Linked DNA regions of Xenopus tropicalis. The protein of the gene in region 1 interacts with the protein of each later gene in a biochemical or structural test. Links are inferred from orthologs where the notes say so. Each region holds a gene or a part of one and is shown on either strand. Other genes may lie near its edges.

Region 1 (5,714 bases):
ATTTTAATATTTGTTCAGCAACTCTTCAGTTTGGAATTTGTAGCTGTTATCTGGTTGCCAGGGTCCAAATGACCTTAGCAACCAGCAATGTGAGACTGGTATATGAAAAGGAGGAGGGGCTGAATAGAAAGATAAGGAATAAAAAGTAACAATAACAATAAAACTGGAGCCTCACAGAGCAATAGGTTTTGGCTGCCGGGGTCAGTCATCCTGTTGCTAGGGCTCAAATTACCTTAGCAACCAGGGAGTGATTGGAATAAGAGACGGGTAGATGAATAGGGGAGGGGCTGAATAGAAAGATAAGGAATAAAAAGTAACAATAACAATAAAACTGGAGCCTCACAGAGCAATAGGGTTTGGCTGCCGGGGTCAGTTATCCTGTTGCTAGGGCTCAAATTACCTTTGCAACCAGGGAGTTGATTGGATGAGAGCCAGGAATATGAATAGGGGAGGGGCTGAATAGAAAGATAAGGAATAAAAAGTAACAATAACAATAAAACTGGAGCCTCACAGAGCAATAGGTTTTGGCTGCCGGGGGTCAGTTATCCTGTTGCTAGGGCTCAAATTACCTTAGCAACCAGGGAGTGGTGTGAATGAGAGACAGGAATATGAATAGAGGAGGGGCTGAATAGAAAGATAAGGAATAAAAAGTAACAATAACAATAAAACTGGAGCCTCACAGAGCAATAGGGTTTGGCTGCCGGGGTCAGTTATCCTGTTGCTAGGGCTCAAATTACCTTAGCAACCAGGGAGTGGTGTGAATGAGAGACAGGAATATGAATAGAGGAGGGGCTGAATAGAAAGATAAGGAATAAAAAGTAACAATAACAATAAAACTGGAGCCTCACAGAGCAATAGGGTTTGGCTGCCGGGGTCAGTGACCCCCATTTGAAAGCTGCAAAGAGTCAGAAGGAGGCAAATAATTCAAAAACTATACAAAATAAGTAATGAAGACCAATTGAAAAGTTGCTTAGAATTGGCAGTTTTACTACATAGTTAAGTAATTTAATGGTAACCCCCCCCCCCCCGACCTTTACATATATAGGTCATTCTTATTGGTGCAAAAAAGTCCAGCTGCAGACTTAAGGTATGGAGATCCTACTTATGGAAAGCCCCCTTATCCAGAACAGCCCCCAGGTACCGAGCATTCTGGGTAATAAGTTCCATTACTGTACTGGGGTATGAAACCCTGAATGCACTTACCTCTATATTGTTATTCATCAGCCCGCAGGCATCGGCAAAGTCCGGGTGTTTGGTGTTGATGTAGGCGAGTTCGATGGCCACCAAGTTATGTACCTGCACGCCAACAACCGGGTGTCATAAGGGGTTAAAAATCTGCAAAAGGGCATCGGGGTAGAAGGTGCAGTGGGCAAAGGGCGAGCGCTTCGTCTCTTACCATCTCATTAGTAACCGGCAGTCGCTTCCGCAGGAGACTCGTAACCACCTCGACTATGGCATCGTGAAGCTTCGGGAACCTCAGCAGCTCCTGAAAGGTGAATAACATGGCGGCTACAGACCCCGTTCTATTGATAATGATTTCTATTGGACGACCTAGAGCAGGGGTCCCCAAACTACGGCCTGTGTGACGCACTGGGGCTGAGGGCCGCGCTGAGGCAGAGAGGTAGTAGCCAGGGGTGAGGACACAGTGGGGAGCAGGGGGGCTGTAGTTTGAGGACTAACTATAGTCTGGCCCCCCAACAGTCTGTGGCCCCCTGTTTAAAAATGTTGACGATCCCCGACCTAGAGAGTCATGTGTGGAACCAATTTATGAGACCTGGACCCGACCCGGACATGCCGACTAGTACTGTGTGGGCCGGCCAGACACCTACGGGGGGGGGGTTCGGGACAACCTCGGCACATCACTTGCGGGTGGGTTTGGGTTGAGCTCTGCCAGCTGCCTTTTTCCAGCTTCTGAATTTATAGGCACGCCCCTTTTGTGACATCATTGCAGGCGGGGGCGGGTCTATAAAAACAGGGCAGAAGCTGGGTAGGGTTCGGGTTGGGAGCAGATGGGTTACGATTGGGTGTGGGTCAACCAGCACATCACTAATACAGACCCATAACTAGGGATGCACCGAACCCCACTTTTTTGGGTTCGGCCAAACCCCAAAACCCACCCAGAAGGATTTGGCCAGAAGTGACATCATCAAAAATGGGCAATGGCAGAAAAAAAAAAAAATATAGATAATATGGGTAAAGGTCCCCATACACGGGCTGATAGTAGCTGCCGATATGGGTCCCTTGGACCAATTCGACAGCTAATCGGCCCGTGTATGGGCACTACCGTCAGGCCTGTCCGACATCGGGGCCAAATCTCGATCGGGCAGGTTAGAAAATCTAGTCGTATCGGGGACCGCATCGTCTCGTTGATGTGGCCCCTGGACCAACTTTACCTATACCCGTCGTTATAATTGTTTATAGTTTGACCCTCGATTCTCCCGATATTGCCCACCCATAGGTGGGGGATATCGGGAGAAGATCCGCTCGCTTGGCGACCTTAAGACTCAGAACCTACCAACCAGCATCTATACCCACATCTGAATATCCTACCCGGAACCTGCAGGGTACCCGCCAGTGCCCGACCATCAGCAGGACACTGAGCACCTGTAATCGAACGCCCCTACAATGTGACATTGTGTTGTAGAAAGCCGAGCGTTGCTACCTGCGTGCTGTAGTTACTGCAGTGCTGGATTATCCTCTGCATCTCCTCATGGACCAGCTCCACGCAGCGCAAACTCGGCTCCTCCAGCCGTTTCACCTGTCTCTTCACCAGCAGCTCGAAGGAGACCTCCGGCACAAACAAGGCCGGCCGGGGGCCCTATACACAGAGACAAAACAGGAAATGGTTACCCCCAAAGCCATTGGCACCCCCCGATAAAGCGATAATCGCCGGGCAAACGGCTCACCGTTGCGTTTCTAATGGCCGTAAGGATATCGATGGTGGTGAGGCCGCCCAGCGGGTCTACGGATTCCAGCGTCCTTCCGAACGTCTCGTGGAAGATGTAGCAGATGCGAGCCCCTCCGCACCTGTTTATATGCAAAGCGATAGCTCAAGGGGGTCTTGCCGTGAATGGGTTAAAATGGGAAGTGGCTTTGAAGCACAACTACATTGTATAAATGAATCAGTGAAAGCAAAAATGACCTGGATATTAAGAATATCTCCTTCATACAGGCCCCACCCACTTATCATTCAAGGATAAGTAAACTTTAAATCCCTAAAATAAATCTCTAAAATAACGAAATAACTAGAATAACTCACCTTAATCCCCACACAGATTCAATTTGTTGCTCTATTACAAGCGGCTGGACCGCAGCTCTTTTAGTTACTTCCGTGTCTAGCGTGAATCTCCGCACCTTTTGCTTTCTGAGCCCTGCTTCTCTCTCTCCTACTAAAGGTCCCCCATACACGTGAAGATTCGCTCGCTTGGCGAGATTGCCAAGTGAGCGGATCTTCACCCGATATCCCCACCTACGGGTGGGCGATATCGGGGAATGTGTAGGCTAATTCGGTCATTTGGCCCTGGGGCCAAACGATCGAATTATATTGGCGGCAATGGGGCAGTCGCTTCGGGGACTGCATCAACAAGCCGACGCGTTCCCCAATCCGACTGAATCTTTTAACATGCCCGATCGATATCTGGCCAATTTTAGGCCAGATATTGGTCGGGCATGGCCTTCGTTTCTGCCCCTACACGGGCCGATAAGATGCCGAATCAGTCCAAGGGACCAATATCGGCAGCTACAATCGGCCCGTGTATGGGGACCTCAAGACCCCACAGAGGTGCCTATTGCGTATGCCTGATTGATTTTAACTTGACCAAAGGCAGCAAGCATGCTCAGTAGGCACCTCTTTGGGGGTCTTAGTTGGAGAGAGAAGGAGGGATCAGAAAGCAAAAGGGGTGGAGATTCACGCTAGACATGGAAGTAACTAAACCACCCTCCAATGATTGTAACTTACTTACCCCGCCCCCACACTACTTACAGTTCAGAGGTTTCTATGTATTTTGCTGTTCCTTCGATGGTGTTGCAATACTCTGTGGCAAACTTAGTAATGAGCTGCAGTAACGTGGCGCTCTTGTCTTCCACGGGTTCCCCGTAGCTGTTCAGCAGGGACTGGTACTGGGCGGCCAGGACGTTGATTCTGGTCTTCAGCTCCGGCAGACAGTCGCGGATGTGGTGCATCAGTAGCCTACAGACACGGCATATACATATGGGGCATTTTATCCTCTTGCTGCCAACATATAGTTGTACCGAGTAATACCTCCCAGATTCCATTGCTGTTACCCAGAGCAGGCATTAAAGGGGTGGTTCACCTTTAAAGACAAACTGCAATTGGTCTTCATTTTTTATTATTTGCCGTTTTAGAAATATTTAGCTTTTTATTCAGCAGCTCTCCAGTTTGGAATTTCAAGCAGCTATCAGGTTGCTAGGGTCCAATTTTACCTAGCAACCAGGCAGTGGCTTGAATTAGACACGGGAATATGGATAGAGGAAGGCCTAAATATAAAATAAGTGACAATAAAACTGTAGGAATAGGTTTTTGGCTGCCGGGGTCAGTGACTCCCATTTGAGAGCAGGAAAGAGGCAGAAGAGGAAGGAAAAGAATTCAAAAACTATAAAGAATGAAAAATAAAGACCAATTGAAAACTTGCTAAGAAGAGGCCATTCTGTAATATACTAAAAGTTAACCTAATGGTGGCCATTTTGGAAGGAAGCGTTACCTGTTAAGAGTCCGTGCAAGATATTTGGTTCCGTTCCTGTTTGCCAGGGAGGGGTATTTCTTCTGCAGGAACCCGTACTCATCCCGGATAGAGTCGGCCACGCTCTTTTTGTTATTAATGTCCAACTGGCTCCTTTGAATTAGAAATCAATAATTAGGGTTCTCACCATATGAAGCTATTGCCTTTCTCCAGCCAATAGCTCAGCCCCATTCCGAGAAATAAATGGCGACTGGCTCTCATTATATGGGGTGCAATCCATAGCAACCAATCGGAAATTCTCTTTTTTTTCAGCCAGCTGCAGGTAAAACCATGAATGCAGCAATTTGATTGGTTGCCACGGGTTACTGCCCATGGGTAATCGTGCTTAGTGTTGATAAATGACCCCCAATAACCCTTTAGATCTGTGCTGCCCAAGCTGCGACCATGCCATTGTATATGGTAAAAAGGTAACGGATCTGGATACCTGTTGACCACTCCGATGATGCCAAGTTTGACCGGGATGACCCGTCCCAGAAGCACATCCATAGCGTCCGTCCCTGCGTCCATCAGGTCCAGCTTGGTTATGACGGCGAGAGTCCTGCGACCTGGATAAATGGGATCGGGGAAAATTTAGGAACATGTGACCAGGGAAGCCATTATGGCGGACAGTGTTAAAGGGAAACTATACCCCCAAAATGAATACTTAACCAACAGCTGAAGTGTGGAAGCAAAAAACAGAACTCTGCCCATACATTGGCTGATGTGGCCCCTAGCACCCCAGGGGGTGGCCCTTAATTCTTAAAATGGTCATTTTCTATTTAGGATTACCCAGTAGCATTTCTGGTCATGATCACATGGTTTCTACCCAGAAAAGAGGTGACTTACCGTCAGGGTCACTTTCCCGCGCGATCTTAAGAGCCTCTGAAGTTGCCATGTCGGTGTTGGCAGCCGTGACTGCCAGGATAATGGAATTGGGGTTGCTGATGTACCTCAGGATGAGCTCGCGGATCTGGA
Region 2 (6,192 bases), about 140 Mb from region 1:
TCATTATAATAGAGTGGAAATTCCCACTCCAGTAGTTGCTCACAACCATCACCATCTCAAGACCATAGCACGAGAGATACCACCACTAGACGAAGCAAAGTTTACTCTAATGAATCACATTGTGTGGGCAAGCGAAGACTTCTACATCCAACGTCTCCATAATGAAACCAGATGCTCGTCTACCAGTGGTTTCAGCTACCTCAGAGCAGGTTTTCGAGGTATATGGGGCTGGTGGGCTATTTATGTTGAACATGTTGAACATCCTTCTGCTTTCCTGGCGATTGGCAGCTGGGTAAACATTTACAAGGCATATTTTTGAGCATCATTTCCGCCTAAGGCCTTTTCCACACACCCCCGTGCATGTAGGTGTAACTGCCCCATGTAGTTCATCTTCCTTCCCCACCACCATGCTGTGGGAGGGGAGGAGGGCACTTGGTAAGCCATGGGGGTAGACCTGGATGGAGGGCTGCTAAATGCTGGTCGATGCCACATTCAGAACATTTAACAATTAGTGATGAGTGAATCTGTCCCATTTAATAGGCAACATTTTTTATGAGCAACTTTTTTTCTTACTCCATGTTTTTTAAGGTCCAACAATAAAGAATGGATTATGGATTTTTAATTCATATCATTTGGAGGTGTGGCTTATGTTGTGCTTAATGTACGCGGGGCCGACCCCTGTGAATATACGGACTGTGACAGAGGGGGGACGGACAGACACATACATAATATATAGAATAAGCCCATCCCTGCTCAAAGCAATATGACTTGGCACCACTAGATGGCAGCACTGTACTATAAATTAAAGGGGCAGTATCCCTCTAATACACCTTTCCTAGCAACGGGCACAATAAAAATGTTGAAATTACATTCTGCTTATTGTTTTAATCAAAAAAAAAATTTGGTTTCCCCCCCGCGGTGGGGGGGGTTGGATGGGGCAATGACCAGGGGTGGTCTCGGGGCGCCCAGTTTGGAAATCCGGCCCTGAACATTGTGCTATATGACATTAACCCCTACCGGTATTTTATAAACAGGGAAAATGGTTCGGAGCCCCCCTTCTACCTTTAACCCAACAAACCTCTCTCTTATCTAAGCAGCAGCCTTTCGAGCAGCTCATTATCGGGGCTTCTCAGTGGACTGGGAATTCGTTTTATTAGTTCCTTTGCAAGTTCTGTGGGACAGGGAGTGACAGGAAGTGCTAAAGAGAAAAGACCCAAGGGGACCAAAACTGAATCACAGATACAATTGGTTTAACCCAGGCAATGGAACTTTCCAAAAACACTGGGTGGGGGGGGGGGGCAATTAATAATGCTTAGGGCATAATTTGGCCTCATATTGTGTGAAATAAGATGAGATTGTATAACAGGGGCAGGGGTGCTGGAGTCTAACAGGGATATATTTATTATAGTGTGTAACCATCCCCAGGGATGCTGCCCATAGCAACCAATCAGATCTTTGTTTTTGTTTAATAACTTGACTGTTCAATTCTAATTGCTGATTGGTTGCTATGGGCAAGCTCTCCAGTGATGTTTGCTTACATACTATAAAAACTGTGCCCCTGGACCAATCACAGAGCTGCCCAAATGTAACGGTGCTAGCGACCCAGTAACTAAGCAACTAGGGCTAAAACATTACGCAAAGCAGAGTTGATTAACTTGCAGTATGCACAATATAGATAAGGCTGCAAGGGCCAATAGGATGCACCGACTGCGGGGTTGCCAGAATTCTGCCAGTCAGGTCTAAAACCAGCCCAAAACTAGCCAAAAGCCACTTTGAAAGTAGCCCAAAAATAGCCCAATGTGCGCAATGAAAAACAATTCTAAATTCCAAAGCAGGCTGTAGACAGGTTGAGCCTGAATAGAATAGAAATGGGAGCCTCTGTCTATACTGTCCAACTGCATCCTGGGTATTGTAGTTTTATATTAATCCGAGCTGTAGGCTAATTGTTAGATACAAACTACATTACCCAGCATGCAGTGGGACAGGCATACTAGGTTCCAAACTACAAACCCGCCAAGGCTCCAAAAAATAGCCTAAACTGTACTTTGGCGGGTTTGTACTTTGGAAACCTGCAGGGGCTGTAAATTAGTAGCCCAATTTGGTGGGAAAACCGCCATCCCTGACTGACTGGCACTGTGCGCGGCTTTCCCAGTTAATAGGTAGGCGCCGTGATAAGCACTCGCCCTCAACAAACATGGCGGCGCCAGCGGTTTTGTAGCAAACGGAACTTCCCAAATGAAAGATGGCGGGCGGAAGGCAGGGCCTATAGGCAGAGCTTGGGAGTCAGCTGACAGTGCGCTTCCTGTCGGGGTGAGGATGGAGGCCGTGCTGTCCGATCCGGTGGATACGGGGGATCTGTTGGTAAGGGGGGGGGTGTCTGTCCGACTGGTGTCTCACAGGGGTTTCCTGTCTCACTGTGGGAAGCCGCCCTGTCACTGTGTCCCCTGGGCCTGAACTCGCCCTGTCAGACTGGCTCATATTGATGATGTCATAGCCCCGGGGCGTGCGTGTAAGTGACGTTACTTTCGTTACTTTGTGGGGCATGACGTCATGGGAAGGGAACTCAGTTTGTGGCTGATTTTATACTGTGTGTGTGGGAAGGTGTCACAGCTTGGAATTGTTCTTGTGTTTGTGCGTGATGTCACGGGGGGCTGGGTGCCTGTGGGTGATGTCACAGGGGGGCTGGGTGCCTGTGGGTGATGTCACAGGGGGGCTGGGTGCCTGTGGGTGATGTCACAGGGGGGCTGGGTGCCTGTGGGTGATGTCACAGGGGGCTGGGTGCCTGTGGGTGATGTCACAGGGGGGGTGGGTGCCTGTGGGTGATGTCACAGGGGGGCTGGGTGCCTGTGCGTGATGTCGCGGGGGGTGGGTGCCTGTGGGTGATGTCACAGGGGGGGTGGGTGCCTGTGGGTGATGTCACAGCGGGGCTGGGTGCCTGTGGGTGATGTCAGGGGGGGCTGGGTGCCTGTGGGTGATGTCACAGGGGGGCTGGGTGCCTGTGGGTGATGTCAGGGGGGGCTGGGTGCCTGTGGGTGATGTCACAGGGGGGTGGGTGCCTGTGGGTGATGTCACAGCGGGGCTGGGTGCCTGTGGGTGATGTCACAGGGGGGGTGGGTGCCTGTGGGTGATGTCACAGGGGGGCTGGGTGCCTGTGGGTGATGTCAGGGGGGGCTGGGTGCCTGTGGGTGATGTCAGGGGGGGCTGGGTGCCTGTGGGTGATGTGTCAGGGGGGGCTGGGTGCCTGTGGGTGATGTCACAGGGGGGGCTGGGTGCCTGTGGGTGATGTCACAGGGGGGGCTGGGTGCCTGTGGGTGATGTCACAGGGGGGGCTGGGTGCCTGGGGGTGATGTCAGGGGGGGCTGGGTGCCTGGGGGTGATGTCAGGGGGGGCTGGGTGCCTGGGGGTGATGTCACAGGGGGGGGCTGGGTGCCTGTGGGTGATGTCACAGGGGGGGCTGGGTGCCTATACACACAGGGGCAGAGGGGCACTCACACTATAACAACAGAAGGCTCAGTGACTGTTAGAGGCCCCGCCCCCGCATGTCCCACTGTTGAATTCCCACCCTTACATTGGCTGATTTGATACCAACCTTGCCAACCATTCATATCTGTACGTGTAGCAACGGCGCCATTTTGCCAACCACTGACATCACAACTCAGCGTGTCCCTACCAATCAGATATGGGTGCCACCCAGCCAATCACAGACGTGCGTCCCGCAGCTCTGCTCCTGCCCTGTTACTGGGGATCTGGCTCAGAGCTCATTACAGCAAATGCTTTATAACCTTGCCAACCATTACATGTCCCCTGCAGGGCACCATCACCTTGCCAACCATTACATGTCCCCTGCAGGGCACCACCATCTTGCCAACCATTACATGTCCCCTGCAGGGCACCATCACCTTGCCAACCATTACATGTCCCCTGCAGGGCACCATCACCTTGCCAACCATTACATGTCCCCTGCAGGGCACCACCATCTTGCCAACCATTACATGTCCCCTGCAGGGCACCACCACCTTGCCAACCATTACATGTCCCCTGCAGGGCACCATCACCTTGCCAACCATTACATGTCCCCTGCAGGGCACCACCACCTTGCCAACCATTACATGTCCCCTGCAGGGCACCATCACCTTGCCAACCATTACATGTCCCCTGCAGGGCACCATCTTGCCAACCATTACATGTCCCCTGCAGGGCACCATCACCTTGCCAACCATTACATGTCCCCTGCAGGGCACCATCACCTTGCCAACCATTACATGTCCCCTGCAGGGCACCATCACTTTGCCAACCATTACATGTCCCCTGCAGGGCACCATCACCTTGCCAACCATTACATGTCCCCTGCAGGGCACCATCACCTTGCCAACCATTACATGTCCCCTGCAGGGCACCATCACCTTGCCAACCATTACATGTCCCCTACAGGGCACCATCACCTTGCCAACCATTACATGTCCCCTGCAGGGCACCATCACCTTGCCAACCATTACATGTCCCCTGCAGGGCACCATCTTGCCAACCATTACATGTCCCCTGCAGGGCACCATCACCTTGCCAACCATTACATGTCCCCTGCAGGGCACCATCACCTTGCCAACCATTACATGTCCCCTGCAGGGCACCACCACCTTGCCAACCATTACATGTCCCCTGCAGGGCACCATCACCTTGCCAACCATTACATGTCCCCTGCAGGGCACCACCATCTTGCCAACCATTACATGTCCCCTGCAGGGCACCATCACCTTGCCAACCATTACATGTCCCCTGCAGGGCACCACCACCTTGCCAACCATTACATGTCCCCTGCAGGGCACCATCACCTTGCCAACCATTACATGTCCCCTGCAGGGCACCATCTTGCCAACCATTACATGTCCCCTGCAGGGCACCATCACCTTGCCAACCATTACATGTCCCCTGCAGGGCACCATCACCTTGCCAACCATTACATGTCCCCTGCAGGGCACCACCATCTTGCCAACCATTACATGTCCCCTGCAGGGCACCATCACCTTGCCAACCATTACATGTCCCCTGCAGGGCACCACCACCTTGCCAACCATTACATGTCCCCTGCAGGGCACCATCACCTTGCCAACCATTACATGTCCCCTGCAGGGCACCATCACCTTGCCAACCATTACATGTCCCCTGCAGGGCACCATCACCTTGCCAACCATTACATGTCCCCTGCAGGGCACCATCACCTTGCCAACCATTACATGTCCCCTGCAGGGCACCATCACTTTGCCAACCATTACATGTCCCCTGCAGGGCACCATCACCTTGCCAACCATTACATGTCCCCTGCAGGGCACCATCACCTTGCCAACCATTACATGTCCCCTACAGGGCACCATCACCTTGCCAACCATTACATGTCCCCTGCAGGGCACCATCACCTTGCCAACCATTACATGTCCCCTGCAGGGCACCATCTTGCCAACCATTACATGTCCCCTGCAGGGCACCATCACCTTGCCAACCATTACATGTCCCCTGCAGGGCACCATCACCATGCCAACCTTTACATGTCCCCTGCAGGGCACCATCTTGCCAACCATTACATGTCCCCTGCAGGGCACCATCATCTTGCCAACCATTACATGTCCCCTGCAGGGCACCATCACCTTGCCAACCATTACATGTCCCCTGCAGGGCACCATCACCTTGCCAACCATTACATGTCCCCTGCAGGGCACCATCACCTTGCCAACCATTACATGTCCCCTGCTGGGCACCATCACCTTGCCAACCATTACATGTCCCCTGCAGGGCACCATCTTGCCAACCATTACATGTCCCCTGCAGGGCACCATCATCTTGCCAACCATTACATGTCCCCTGCAGGGCACCATCACCTTGCCAACCTTTACATGTCCCCTGCAGGGCACCATCTTGCCAACCTTTACATGTCCCCTGCTGGGCACCATCTTGCCAACCATTACATGTCCCCTGCAGGGCACCATCACCTTGCCAACCATTACATGTCCCCTGCAGGGCACCATCACCTTGCCAACCATTACATGTCCCCTGCAGGGCACCATCACCTTGCCAACCATTACATGTCCCCTGCTGGGCACCATCACCTTGCCAACCATTACATGTCCCCTGCAGGGCACCATCACCTTGCCAACCATTACATGTCCCCTGCAGGGCACCATCACCTTGCCAACCATTACA

What was found. The genes of interacting proteins can lie anywhere in the genome.
Region 2: the proteins of dnm1l (region 1) and fis1 form a complex in vitro, tested with the Homo sapiens proteins (2 studies listed by BioGRID). The link is inferred for Xenopus tropicalis from reciprocal best matches to the Homo sapiens genes DNM1L and FIS1.

What each region holds. Positions count from the first base shown.
Region 1 is NC_030679.2:4,784,453-4,790,166, forward strand, and holds part of dnm1l (dynamin-1-like protein), read right to left. Parts: coding exon 5,586-5,714; intron 5,306-5,585; coding exon 5,185-5,305; intron 4,854-5,184; coding exon 4,722-4,853; intron 4,190-4,721; coding exon 3,983-4,189; intron 3,028-3,982; coding exon 2,907-3,027; intron 2,819-2,906; coding exon 2,663-2,818; intron 1,487-2,662; coding exon 1,397-1,486; intron 1,297-1,396; coding exon 1,204-1,296; intron 1-1,203. UniProt on the Homo sapiens protein: Functions in mitochondrial and peroxisomal division.
Region 2 is NC_030679.2:148,612,582-148,618,773, reverse strand, and holds the start of fis1 (mitochondrial fission 1 protein), read left to right. Parts: upstream 1-2,313; 5' UTR 2,314-2,316; coding exon 2,317-2,361; intron 2,362-6,192. UniProt on the Homo sapiens protein: Involved in the fragmentation of the mitochondrial network and its perinuclear clustering. Plays a minor role in the recruitment and association of the fission mediator dynamin-related protein 1 (DNM1L) to the mitochondrial surface and mitochondrial fission.